Saccharomyces cerevisiae S288C: one gene and its partners. The gene in region 1 interacts genetically with each later gene. Each region holds a gene or a part of one and is shown on either strand. Other genes may lie near its edges.

What was found.
Region 2: mutations in SRY1 (region 1) and SLM3 together harm fitness less than expected from each alone (positive genetic interaction), as found in Saccharomyces cerevisiae (2 studies listed by BioGRID).
Region 3: mutations in SRY1 (region 1) and PAR32 together harm fitness more than expected from each alone (negative genetic interaction), as found in Saccharomyces cerevisiae (2 studies listed by BioGRID).
Region 4: mutations in SRY1 (region 1) and RDL2 together harm fitness more than expected from each alone (negative genetic interaction), as found in Saccharomyces cerevisiae (2 studies listed by BioGRID).

What each region holds. Positions count from the first base shown.
Region 1 is NC_001143.9:16,859-20,043, forward strand, and holds SRY1 (threo-3-hydroxy-L-aspartate ammonia-lyase SRY1), read right to left. Parts: upstream 1,482-3,185; coding exon 501-1,481; downstream 1-500. UniProt on the Saccharomyces cerevisiae protein: Catalyzes the deamination of L-threo-3-hydroxyaspartate to oxaloacetate and ammonia. Shows a high specificity towards L-threo-3-hydroxyaspartate as other 3-hydroxyaminoacids, i.e.
Region 2 is NC_001136.10:392,159-395,550, reverse strand, and holds SLM3 (tRNA-5-taurinomethyluridine 2-sulfurtransferase), read left to right. Parts: upstream 1-1,638; coding exon 1,639-2,892; downstream 2,893-3,392. Other genes in the region: ATP-dependent RNA helicase DBP10, read right to left, coding at 1-1,334. UniProt on the Saccharomyces cerevisiae protein: Catalyzes the 2-thiolation of uridine at the wobble position (U34) of mitochondrial tRNA(Lys), tRNA(Glu) and tRNA(Gln).
Region 3 is NC_001136.10:146,533-149,578, reverse strand, and holds PAR32 (Par32p), read right to left. Parts: upstream 1,389-3,046; coding exon 501-1,388; downstream 1-500. Other genes in the region: GLT1 (glutamate synthase (NADH)), read left to right, coding at 1-376; DLD1 (D-lactate dehydrogenase), read left to right, coding at 1,990-3,046. UniProt on the Saccharomyces cerevisiae protein: Involved in resistance to cisplatin.
Region 4 is NC_001147.6:848,675-851,229, forward strand, and holds RDL2 (thiosulfate sulfurtransferase RDL2), read left to right. Parts: upstream 1-1,605; coding exon 1,606-2,055; downstream 2,056-2,555. Other genes in the region: HUA2 (Hua2p), read left to right, coding at 1-535; thiosulfate sulfurtransferase RDL1, read left to right, coding at 961-1,380; rRNA-processing protein RRP36, read right to left, coding at 2,263-2,555. UniProt on the Saccharomyces cerevisiae protein: Thiosulfate sulfurtransferase which catalyzes the transfer of sulfane sulfur from thiosulfate to cyanide.

The DNA of each region.
Region 1 (3,185 bases):
AGAGCAGACGATATTGTGTGTGGAAAAGAGAATTTTTTCTGCGTATAAAATAGGACATTATGACAGTTACCTTTAATTGAAGTAGAGATATGTTTTTTCAACTTAGAAGCTATGTCTTTACTGGGTGTAAGCCTAGGAACGCTCTTCTGTTTTAGTTCAAAATATGCAAAAGAAACTAATATACCAGTAATGCTCATAGTCACAGTCAGAAGTTATATTATTAGTTTGACATAAGCAGTATTCTTCCCTCTCACACACTATCATTCTGCCAAAAAATTTTCCCACATAAGGGTGTCAGTTCAGTGAAATATAATACTAGTAGAAAAATATGTAGAGTTATCAGAGTATAAATCAGCTAGAGGCTTTTTTTGCTGAACTCACTTCAAAATCTCAACCATGTTATTAATGTTAAGTCAAATGATATATGCCGTGTGAAAGTAGACAACTAAAGCTTTCCAATTCTTCACTATAAAACTGAACTCAAAATTCAAAAGTATACACTAAATCGTTGGGCCATCTTCCTTCCCAGAGATTAAAGTAGCATATCTCTTCATGTCTACATTACCTCCACTTAGTATTATGCCTACTTTCTTCCCAACTAGCTCTTCCTTTTTTAGAAGTGCACCTGCAAATCCCAAACAAGCTGTGGGCTCAACAACCACCTTCATGCGTTCCGCAAGAAAGTGCATGCATTTTACTAGCTCTTGGTCGCTAACCGTTAAAATATCATCGACATTTTCGCGAATAATGGCAAATGTGTACTCACCGAGGTGTTGTGTTTGAGCGCCATCTGCGATAGTTTTTGGCGTATTGATATGAACAATGGAACCCGATCTGAAGGATTGTTGTCCATCGTTACCAGCTTCAGGTTCAACCCCAAAAATTTTGCAGCCTGGAGAAAGGCTTCTAGCGGCAAGTGCAGATCCTGAAAGGAGCCCACCACCGCCCAAAGGAACAAATAATGCATCAAGTTGTCCAACCTCTTCTAATAGCTCTTTTGCCGACGTACCTTGCCCTGCAATAACATCAGGATGATCGTAGGGCGGAATCAATGCAAAACCATGTTCGGCTGCTAGTTGACGCCCAATCTGCTCGCGATCTTCAGTATACCTGTTATACCTTATGATATGTGCTCCGTAACCGGCTGTAGCAGCAACTTTAAGGGCGGGCGCATCCTCGGGCATAACAATTGTTGCAGGTACATTTAATAGTTTTGCACTAAGAGCAATAGCCTGTGCATGGTTTCCTGATGAGAAGGCAATTACTCCCTTACTTCTTTTTTCATCACTTAATTTTGAAACAGCATTCATTGCTCCACGAAACTTGAACGCTCCCACTCGTTGGAAATTCTCACCTTTAAAGTATATTTGTGCTCCAAGTCGATCATTAAGCATTCGTGAAGTGAGAACCGGTGTTTTATTTACATATTCTTTAATTCTGTTGCTGGCATCCAAAACGTCTCCATAAGTGGGAACAATCATTTTTCCAACTCAATGAAAACTAAATATCTCGAACTATATTAATTATTTGTACTTTTTAAGTTTTTTTTCAATACTCCTTTATTTGAATTTTTGCAGAATGAAAATGTAACTCTTTATATTCCAAAGCTTATCTTTTTCTCACGTACCGTCCTATAGACCCTGATTTTATGATAAGAGGCTGAATTTACTAATTAGTCATTTTTTTCAGTTTTTTTGTCATAGAAGCCACATTTAAAAGAAGTCAGCCAAGTTACCTGTAAATATTAAAACAACCTGCTTAGAATGACTGTTAATTTACAGAATTTACGATAAAAATATAACTTGGCTCTAGGGCGTGATGATAGTGACAAAAAACTCGTCAAGTAAATGTTGGGAGCTTACTTGCCGTCGTTTTCTAACGCCAAAATACACGAATCATGTTTGGGAAATATAAGTGATTAGAACTTGTCCAAGGATATTGTCAAACAATAACATACTACAATAATCCTAGATCGTGTATTATTTGCGTATGGATAAATATACCTCAAGCTTTATGAGGCATAGAAAATTCATTAGAGTCACTACTTACGTCGCACTCTCGAGGATTGGAATGACGAAATCTTCTTCAGCATTTCACCATTCACCTTTTGAAGCTTCCTATCTCGTTGCTTAAGTAGAATGAAAGCATAGCAGCCCAAAAGAAAAGCCTCCCTCAGCAAGAATATTAACAAAGAACAATTCATGGACCGTTTCTACTACTTAATATCTCTATCACAACTGTCAGTCTCAATCAGTACTTAAATGACGCTGCAGAAAAAGATATCATTATTTTTATCATCCCCCTAATAAAATAAGTAATGAATCAATGCCATTAATTCGGGAACTAGTCATATACCTAAGGAATCAGGCTTTGATAGCTCTTTAATAATAATATTAGGGCATTTTTGATATGGTAAAAGATTAGATTAGGAAACCCCTTTTGTAGAGCATCTCACTACAATATCTGCAAAAACGGTCACCTTGCATAGGCAGAACACGCTACCTTTGAGTTAATTCACAGGGGAGAGCCCTTTTTTTTTCTTAGCAAAAGTGCTTAACAATCTTAATTTCTGGAATGTTTTCGGCGGATTGTTGTATATTGTTTGAATTTGTTCGTTCTAAAAAGTGAGACACCTGCACTTTCCACGCCAAGAACACTAATACCTTTAAACATGCCAGCGTACTTTAAAATGCCACGAGTCGCCCCGTACCAAACATGCTGGCGATTGTAATTTTTCGCCTTTTATTGGAATCGAGAATTCGGGCACTGTCCTTTTCTTCGTCATTTCAATGTTATAATCATTTTTATCGCCAAATTTTCTTCAATAAAAGGTCTCTTTTAAAATATGTTACTATGTTTTTTATTTTTCTATTATTTTTCTATGTGATTTTTCAGACGATTTATTCTTTGTTCGAAGGAGAACAGATGCAACGGTCAAGTTTTTACTATCCACATGAGGAGCCGTAATATTCTAAAGGCAAAAGCATGTGTGCTTGTAAAAAAAAATCAAAAAAAGTTACTGCTCCAAGCCAGCAAGCTTTCTCTTTTGCGAAATCTTTAACACGGTTAAAATCAAAGACAATTACTTCATTGACAAGGTCAATGCTAATATTTACGGTCTCCGCACGAAAGACTCTGAAAAATGTTAAAATTTATAGTGGCTAATGCTAATTCAAGAATAGTCT
Region 2 (3,392 bases), on another chromosome or scaffold:
ACATGATGTCTTGTTGGAACGAACAGAATAGTTGCTTTTTCAGAAGGAAGTTCATTAGCTGCAGGCATTTTTTGTTTACGGAACTTTTCCTTCTTGAAATTCCTCCTCTTCTTTTGGCGATCATTTTCATCATCTGAGTCACTATCTGCCTCATTGTTACTATTTTGCAGCTTTTGAAGTTGTTCACTAGTGGCTAACGGAATCTTTATGATTTCTTGCAAAATATATAATAGGTTCGCCTCTCTATCTGCGTTTTTACTGGATAGAAAAAGCATTTCTAAGTTCTCTGAAACTTTCGTTTCCGCGTCCAAACGAACCAAAACTGGATTAACCAAACCAGCCTTAACAAAATCAACCAATGAATTAGGTAGAGTAGCAGAAAACAACAAAGTCTGTCTTGTTGTAGGCAAAGATGCAAGTAATTCATTCAACTGTTCTTGAAAACCCATTTCGAACAACCTATCAGCTTCATCGAAAACAACGTACTCAACACTCTTCAAATCGAGGTTCATTTCAACTTTCAGATGTAAAAATCTACCAGGTGTTGCAATAATAACGTCTGGGTTGGTCATCATCATGCCAAATTGTTCTTCCAAGGAATCACCACCAGTCAAGAGGACGCTTCTTAGTTCTGTTCCTCTGGCAAAATCCTTGAAAACGTTGAAAGTCTGCATGGCTAATTCTCTGGAAGGCGATAAGATGACTGCACGGGCGCCAATTTTACCTGAGTGACTTTTCAATTTTTCCACCATTGGCAAGATGAATGCTGCAGTCTTACCAGAACCGGTACGTGCCATACCAACAATATCCCTACTTTGCAAAATTAATGGGATAGTCTTCCTTTGAATAGGAGTGGGTTGGCGAAATCCCTTCCTTTTAATATTGTTCAATACAATTTTGGATAGGCCAAAGCTGGGAAAACTACCTTTTTTATGCTTTGTTTTCTCCAAGTTATTTGTGGAGAAATATTCATTGACATCATCCTCATCATCACCGGTTTGAGTTTTACCAGATGCATTGTTTTCATCATCTGACATTTCTAACATTGGAAATGCTGCTATTTCCTTCTTACTATTCTTTTTTTTCTTGATGTCCTTGTTTTCAGCCTTCTTCTTATTGTTCACTCCTTCTTCTTCATCTGAGCTGTACTCGATCACATCCTGGACATCGTTGGGACCATAATCAGCTTCAACTTCACTATCGGAGTCGTTAGCATCACTCTCACTATCATTTAAGGCAATTTCATTTGCAATATCAAAGGCGATGTCGTCCTCCTCGCTTCCATTGTCGTCTTGATCTTCGAGATCCCTTTTTCTTTTCTGCACGCCTGCCATATTCTAGGTTAAAGAGATATGTGGTGGTAACTTAAATGACAAAAGTACTTTTAGTGACTTTACTTCAAGCAGTAGGAAGTTAGTGAAGTACTAGTAACTCTCTGTAAAGCCATTTTGTATGAATTTCATCTCATCGCTTGAAAATTTTAAGAGCGCCGGGTAGTAACAATTGGTCTCTTATTTTTTTCTTTCAATAGTTGAGGCAAAACATTGCTTTATTGTAAAAGAATGAAAGTTTGGAAACATACAAGAACGTTAAAAATGTGAGCGTATTGATTTGGCAATCGATTCAAGTCAGATAACAATGCTGGCAAGATATTTAAATTTAATAGGACGGAGGAGTGCTTCACCGTACAGACCACAGCGGCTACCGGCAAAGTTTGACAACGTGATAGTGGCAATGTCATCTGGGGTAGATTCCTCTGTGGCGGCAGCACTATTTGCCGGAGAATTTCCAAATACCCGAGGAGTATATATGCAGAACTGGTCTGAATCACAATCTTTGGACGACCCTGGCAAGGAGCCATGCTACGAGAGGGATTGGAGAGATGTGAACCGTGTCGCTAAGCATTTGAACATCCGAGTTGACAAAGTTAATTTTGAGCAAGATTATTGGATAGATGTATTTGAACCAATGTTGAGAGGCTACAGTGAAGGGTCGACACCCAATCCAGATATCGGTTGCAACAAGTTCGTCAAGTTCGGCAAGCTGAGAGAGTGGCTGGATGAGAAGTATGGGACGGGTAACTATTGGCTTGTTACTGGTCATTACGCCCGAGTTATGCAGGAAATGAATGGAAAAGGATTATTCCATTTACTGAGAAGCATTTATAGGCCCAAGGATCAAAGCTATTACCTTTCACAAATCAACTCCACTGTTTTGTCATCTTTGTTGCTACCCATTGGCCATCTAACGAAACCAGAAGTACGAGATTTAGCGAAGTATGCAGGCCTCCCGACTGCAGAAAAGCCTGATTCACAGGGCATATGCTTCGTCAACAATTCCCAGCATGGGAAGTTCAAGAATTTTTTAAAGCACTACCTACCCAGTTCACCGGGTGATATCATTACCGTTGACCCACAATCCGGTGCCAAAACGACATGGGGCAGACACGATGGATTGTGGTCTTACACAATTGGACAGAAAGTGGGCATATCCATGCCACAAGCTGACCCTAATTACCAAGGGACCTGGTTTGTCAGTGAAAAACTAAGGGATACCAACGAAATCTTGATAGTCAGAGGAAGAGATAATCCGGCGCTATACAGTGACACTATGCGAATCGAAAACTTTTCGTCTTTGGGCCCCAGGGAGGACACTATAAACGCTTTCCAAAATACTGGTGCCTTGACATTACAATTCCGGTCCCTGCAGGTCCCAGTCCAAATTAAATCGTGCAAACTGAATCGCTCTGCCGACAACCTCGACATAACAATACACTTAGCCTCAAAACAACGTGCCATAACTCCTGGGCAATCGTGCTGTCTATATATCGACGATAGAGTCCTTGGGAGTGGGCCCATTTCCCATGTTAATAATAATGACACCCATGCATAGTGATGATAATGAATTTAGTATATCACCTTATACGATGCGCCGCAGCAATTAATCTTAGCAACATACTTGCCTAATTGAACCACGGTGGTACGATACAGCCAAGAAGAGCTCATGAAGCGGCTGACCATTTCGAAAAGTAATCTGTATATATGAAGGTCTTTTCCCTTGAATCATGTCTCAATAAGTAGTTCATTTTTTTTTGCCCTCTTGTTTTTCTTTTTCATTTTTTTAAATCACACTTTTTTTTCTTTTCAAGATTTATAAATCTTCCTTCCAGGTTTGAGCCGGACCCATTGTTTAATTAAAGCATAGAAGGCAACGAAGGAGTGGGTTATAGAATTAGCATTGCGGCAAAAACGTCATATTTATTAATATTTATTTGCGAAGGTCATATTCAACGCAATCGCACGTCCTCTTCCGTCTTTTTTCTAGCTTTTGTCCTTTTTTATTTGTCTACATCCCTTTCTCTACGGTATCCAGAAGAAGGTGTGTGTGTGTGT
Region 3 (3,046 bases), on another chromosome or scaffold:
GTCACAAAGTGGCGTATGGCAAATGGTAGAAATTCCCAACAGTGAAGAGATCTTTGAAGCCGATATCATTTTGTTGTCTATGGGTTTCGTGGGTCCTGAATTGATCAATGGCAACGATAACGAAGTTAAGAAGACAAGACGTGGTACGATTGCCACACTCGACGACTCCTCATACTCTATTGATGGAGGAAAGACTTTTGCATGTGGTGACTGTAGAAGAGGGCAATCTTTGATTGTCTGGGCCATCCAAGAAGGTAGAAAATGTGCTGCCTCTGTCGATAAGTTCCTAATGGACGGCACTACGTATCTACCAAGTAATGGTGGTATCGTTCAACGTGATTACAAACTATTGAAAGAATTAGCTAGTCAAGTCTAAAAAGCTTGAGTTATTATTTATTTTATGATCGTATATTATTTATTTATTTATTTATTTATTTATTTATTTATTTATTTATTTATTTATTTTATTTAGTTTATTAATTTTGCTGATGAATGTTATTTCAATTAAACATAGTTTTCAAAGAACTGAAAAACCCTGATTTCTTCTTCTTCTTCTTCTTCTTCTCTTTACCATTGTCATCTTTCAAATTAAACTTATCTTCATCATCATCGTTTAAGTTATGGTTGATAGTGTTCCTGCTTGACTTTGGAGAAATTATGTTTCCAGCGCCACCTCTTCCAATAGCAAATTTTTCCGGTGCGCTTTTGCCCTTGAGCTTATTTTTAGGCTTCTTGGACGTGGACTTGATTGCCGCCAAAGCATTGCCATTGGAAGTCACCACAAACAGGTTGTCCTCGTTTGCATTGATAGTATCCTCATCCTCGATATTGCCGCCTCGTATCTCATCCTCTTCATTTCCACCATTGCTGGCCACCTTTTTTTTGTTGAAGAAAATGTTTCCTGCCCCACCTCTACCAACGACAATTGGGGCGTTGTTGTTCGGAGACGAAGTGGTGGCATGCAAAGACTGATGGCTCCTTGTAGCGCTGATACGAGACCTGGTGTTGGTCACCGGGTTTGACCCACCTTCATCCACCATATCCGAAGTTATAGGGGAAATATAATCGTCGATGTCATTGATCACGTCGTTATAGTTGATATTGTCGTTAGAGTCCAGTTGTTGGGCGGATCTCGTCAGGTGCGGATCATGAAAGATATTACCGGCACCACCTCTACCAATTGCAAAACGAGGAACCTTTTCCTGGTTGCTACCGTTATTATTGTTGTTTGCTACTGTCTTTGAATTGGATTTCAATGGAAGAAGTACGGGAGACGGCTTGGACATAGATTTATGGATGTTGCCAGCTCCGCCTCTGCCAGTGGAGACCTTGTACTCTTGTACACGTGCCTGGTTCTCCATCTCGTTTTGTGGGTTGAACGTAGCCATACTAACTTGGTCTTACGCTACTGCTGCTGCTAACGCTGCTGCTGCTTTTGCTCATATGCTTCCATTGACCGTCATTAGTATCAGCGTCAGCCTTTTTGACATAAGCCACCGCTCTGTCAGGGTAACCCTATGAAACATTTCAAAACGTTATAAAGGAACTCGTCTGGTTACAACAAGGAAATATCACTACAAACAGCTGTCCGTACGGCTCCTCAACTCTCTCAATGTTGTTCGCCTGGTCACACACAGCATAGTTTCGTCATTCGGCGCCGACGGTCGCTGTCTCTTGGAGCCTTCAAGCTCTTGTCAACCCAGGTCCGTTGTGCCGATAAAAGTAACAGCAGACCCCCACGCCCGCATCCCACTCTCTTCTCCGACCACCTCCCTCGAAGTTCTTCCCTGCCAATCCCACGTCGATCCAGCGTAGTTGGCCCCAACTGGTGCAGTAATAACCGCTTAGCGATTTTGCACTCGGAACTACATATGTATATATATATGTGTGTGTGTGTGTGGGCTGGAAAGATTTCTTGAGCTTCCGTGTTATAGTGCAATTTAAATATTGTACATCATTCCGATCCAGCTGGAAACAAAAGCAAGAACAATGTTGTGGAAGCGTACTTGCACAAGGCTAATAAAGCCTATTGCACAACCTAGAGGAAGGCTGGTGAGAAGATCATGCTACAGATACGCCTCAACAGGCACAGGCAGCACCGACAGCAGCAGCCAGTGGTTAAAATACTCTGTCATCGCCTCTTCAGCTACTCTATTCGGTTATTTGTTCGCTAAGAACCTCTATTCTAGGGAGACTAAGGAAGATTTGATAGAGAAGCTGGAAATGGTCAAAAAGATCGACCCAGTAAATTCTACGTTAAAGCTGTCCTCATTGGACTCACCAGACTATTTGCACGACCCGGTTAAGATCGATAAGGTTGTTGAGGACCTGAAGCAGGTGCTGGGAAACAAGCCTGAAAACTACTCTGATGCGAAATCCGATTTGGACGCCCATTCAGATACCTACTTCAACACGCATCACCCCTCTCCCGAGCAAAGACCTAGGATTATATTATTCCCTCATACTACCGAAGAAGTTTCCAAAATTTTGAAAATATGTCACGATAACAACATGCCAGTTGTACCCTTCTCGGGCGGAACGTCCTTGGAGGGGCACTTCCTGCCTACAAGAATTGGAGATACCATAACCGTAGACCTGTCCAAGTTTATGAATAACGTCGTAAAATTTGACAAGCTGGACCTGGACATCACCGTGCAGGCCGGTCTACCCTGGGAGGATTTGAATGACTATTTGAGCGACCACGGTTTGATGTTTGGCTGTGACCCTGGTCCAGGTGCACAGATTGGTGGTTGCATTGCTAATTCTTGTTCAGGAACCAACGCCTACCGTTACGGTACCATGAAGGAGAATATTATAAACATGACTATAGTGTTGCCGGACGGGACCATTGTCAAGACGAAGAAAAGACCCAGAAAGTCGAGCGCTGGCTATAACTTAAATGGTTTATTTGTGGGAAGTGAAGGTACCTTAGGTATTGTTACTGAAGCTACTGTCAAGTGTCATGTCAAGCCCAAAGCTGAAACTGTTGCGGTGGTATCCTTTGATACTATCAAGGATGCGGCCGCATGTGCTTCTAATCTGACTC
Region 4 (2,555 bases), on another chromosome or scaffold:
GCAGAAGTACTACGACGCGTTTCTACAACTTTTACAGAAAAGGAACAAATCATTACAATGTAAGAGGTCCACTCACCAGCCGGTCCCATCCCCAATGAATAGCCAGACATCAACAAATGCAAAGGTTAATTTGAGCGGAAAGCTTATGAAGTTTCAGCTAAATAGTGTACAAAAGTTCGACGAAGAAAATATACTAAGGATTCTGCAAAATAAAATAGAATTCGAACATTATTTCCAAATTGATAAAGGTAAGAAGCAAAAGGTGCTATTACTTGCCGTATATCAATGCCTCAATGGGCCAACACGTTTGCATAAAGTGCTTAATATTGAGGGAATTATACATAATAATAGTATCAGAACTATACTGGGCAAACAAGTGTCCAGTTCTAAGTGGACAGTGTTTCTGTACGATGTAAAACTAGTTTTATTGGCGCATAGACAAGATGTTCCGAACTTAGAAACTAGCAAGATGATCGTCAGATATGGTGATTTATTTCCCTGTGCATTGTACTTCAAAGATCATACAGCATACTAAGCGCTTTCCAGGGACACCTTCTGTCGCAAAATATCAGAATTTTTCTTGATTAAACGCAGCATATTGAGTATATGAAATTAACGGGACACTGTGTGAAAAATTTGTAGTTGTACTTTTTTGTTATCCCCTTTGGTAGACATATGGACGAATTACTACTAAGATTGGCTTCCATAAGGCCCAAATCCAGATATCACCTACGGTATGTCCTTTTCCTACTTGCAATGACAAATAATTTGTTATTTATCTTGGAACCTATATAAGTTACATCTGATTGCTTTTGTATTTTTTTTGGAGAATATTATTACCCGCGGGGAAGGAAGTAAGGGGAGAATTTTTGAGGTGTATAAAAGAGAGTGGAGGCTTAATCAATCAAAGAATTCTTTCTCGTTTATTTTCAGGGTTTGTGACTAAGAAACGATATTAAAATGTGGAAGGCCGTGATGAATGCTTGGAATGGAACCGAGAGTCAAAGTAAGAATGTTTCAAATATTCAATCTTACAGTTTTGAAGACATGAAAAGAATCGTTGGAAAGCATGATCCTAATGTGGTTTTGGTAGATGTTAGAGAACCATCTGAGTACTCGATTGTTCATATTCCTGCTTCCATCAATGTGCCATATAGATCGCACCCTGACGCATTTGCCTTAGATCCTTTAGAATTTGAGAAACAGATTGGCATCCCAAAACCTGACAGTGCCAAGGAGCTAATATTTTATTGTGCTTCTGGCAAACGCGGGGGAGAAGCTCAAAAAGTCGCCTCCTCACATGGATATTCAAACACCTCACTATATCCTGGCTCTATGAATGATTGGGTTTCTCATGGGGGTGATAAACTTGACTTATAGCCTTGTATACTCTAGGTATGTACCCTGTGTATTTTCGTAAGCTAGTAACGTATTATGCCATTTATGTCACACCGTTCATAATATTTGCCTATTGCATTGGCTGTGATAGCGGCGGCGCAAAGAAATTAGGAAGTATAAAAAAAAAAATACAAAACTTAATCTGAATGGAATAAGATAGCGATAACTCTCAACAAATGGAAGCGAGACAGAAGAAAAAGACCAACGATGTTCAAGCATAGTACAGGTATTCTCTCGAGGACAGTTTCTGCAAGATCGCCTACATTGGTCCTGAGAACATTTACAACGAAGGCTCCAAAGATCTATACTTTTGACCAGGTCAGGAACCTAGTCGAACACCCCAATGATAAAAAACTATTGGTAGATGTAAGGGAACCCAAGGAAGTAAAGGATTACAAGATGCCAACTACAATAAATATTCCGGTGAATAGTGCCCCTGGCGCTCTTGGATTGCCCGAAAAGGAGTTTCACAAAGTTTTCCAATTTGCTAAACCACCTCACGATAAAGAATTGATTTTTCTTTGTGCGAAAGGAGTAAGAGCCAAAACTGCCGAAGAGTTGGCTCGATCTTATGGGTACGAAAACACTGGTATCTATCCTGGTTCTATTACTGAGTGGTTAGCTAAAGGTGGTGCTGACGTTAAGCCCAAAAAATAAGCCAAAAAGAAACAAGTATAATCGATATATCCTGTATATAGACAACCTTTTGTGTATTTCAAATTTTTTGTTGTCACCTCTCCGATTCATTCGATTTTCTCCTTGTGGTTCGCGGATAACCTCTTACTTCCATTAGTTTATGTGTGCGTTTATTTTTTTATCTTTCTCTATATATTACTTTAATGTGCATTCTTTTGCTTAAATACTCTACCTACGATTATGAAATTCAAATTGTTTAAACTCTTTACCCAATCTCTTCTTCCTTTTCCTTTCCATGACCTTTTCACGTTGCTTGGCCTTCATGTGATCAAATTTCCACTTTTGCACCACTTTACGTTTCTCAGACTTTTTCAAATGGTATCTCGTATTATTGTTTTTATTCATATCATTTTCGTATTCCTTGAGAATTTCACGCTCGAGATCTTTGTTTTTCATTGATTGCAATCTCGATTTCATACTTTTCAGTCTTTGTTCCATTTCTTCACGTTCTCCCTGGTCTA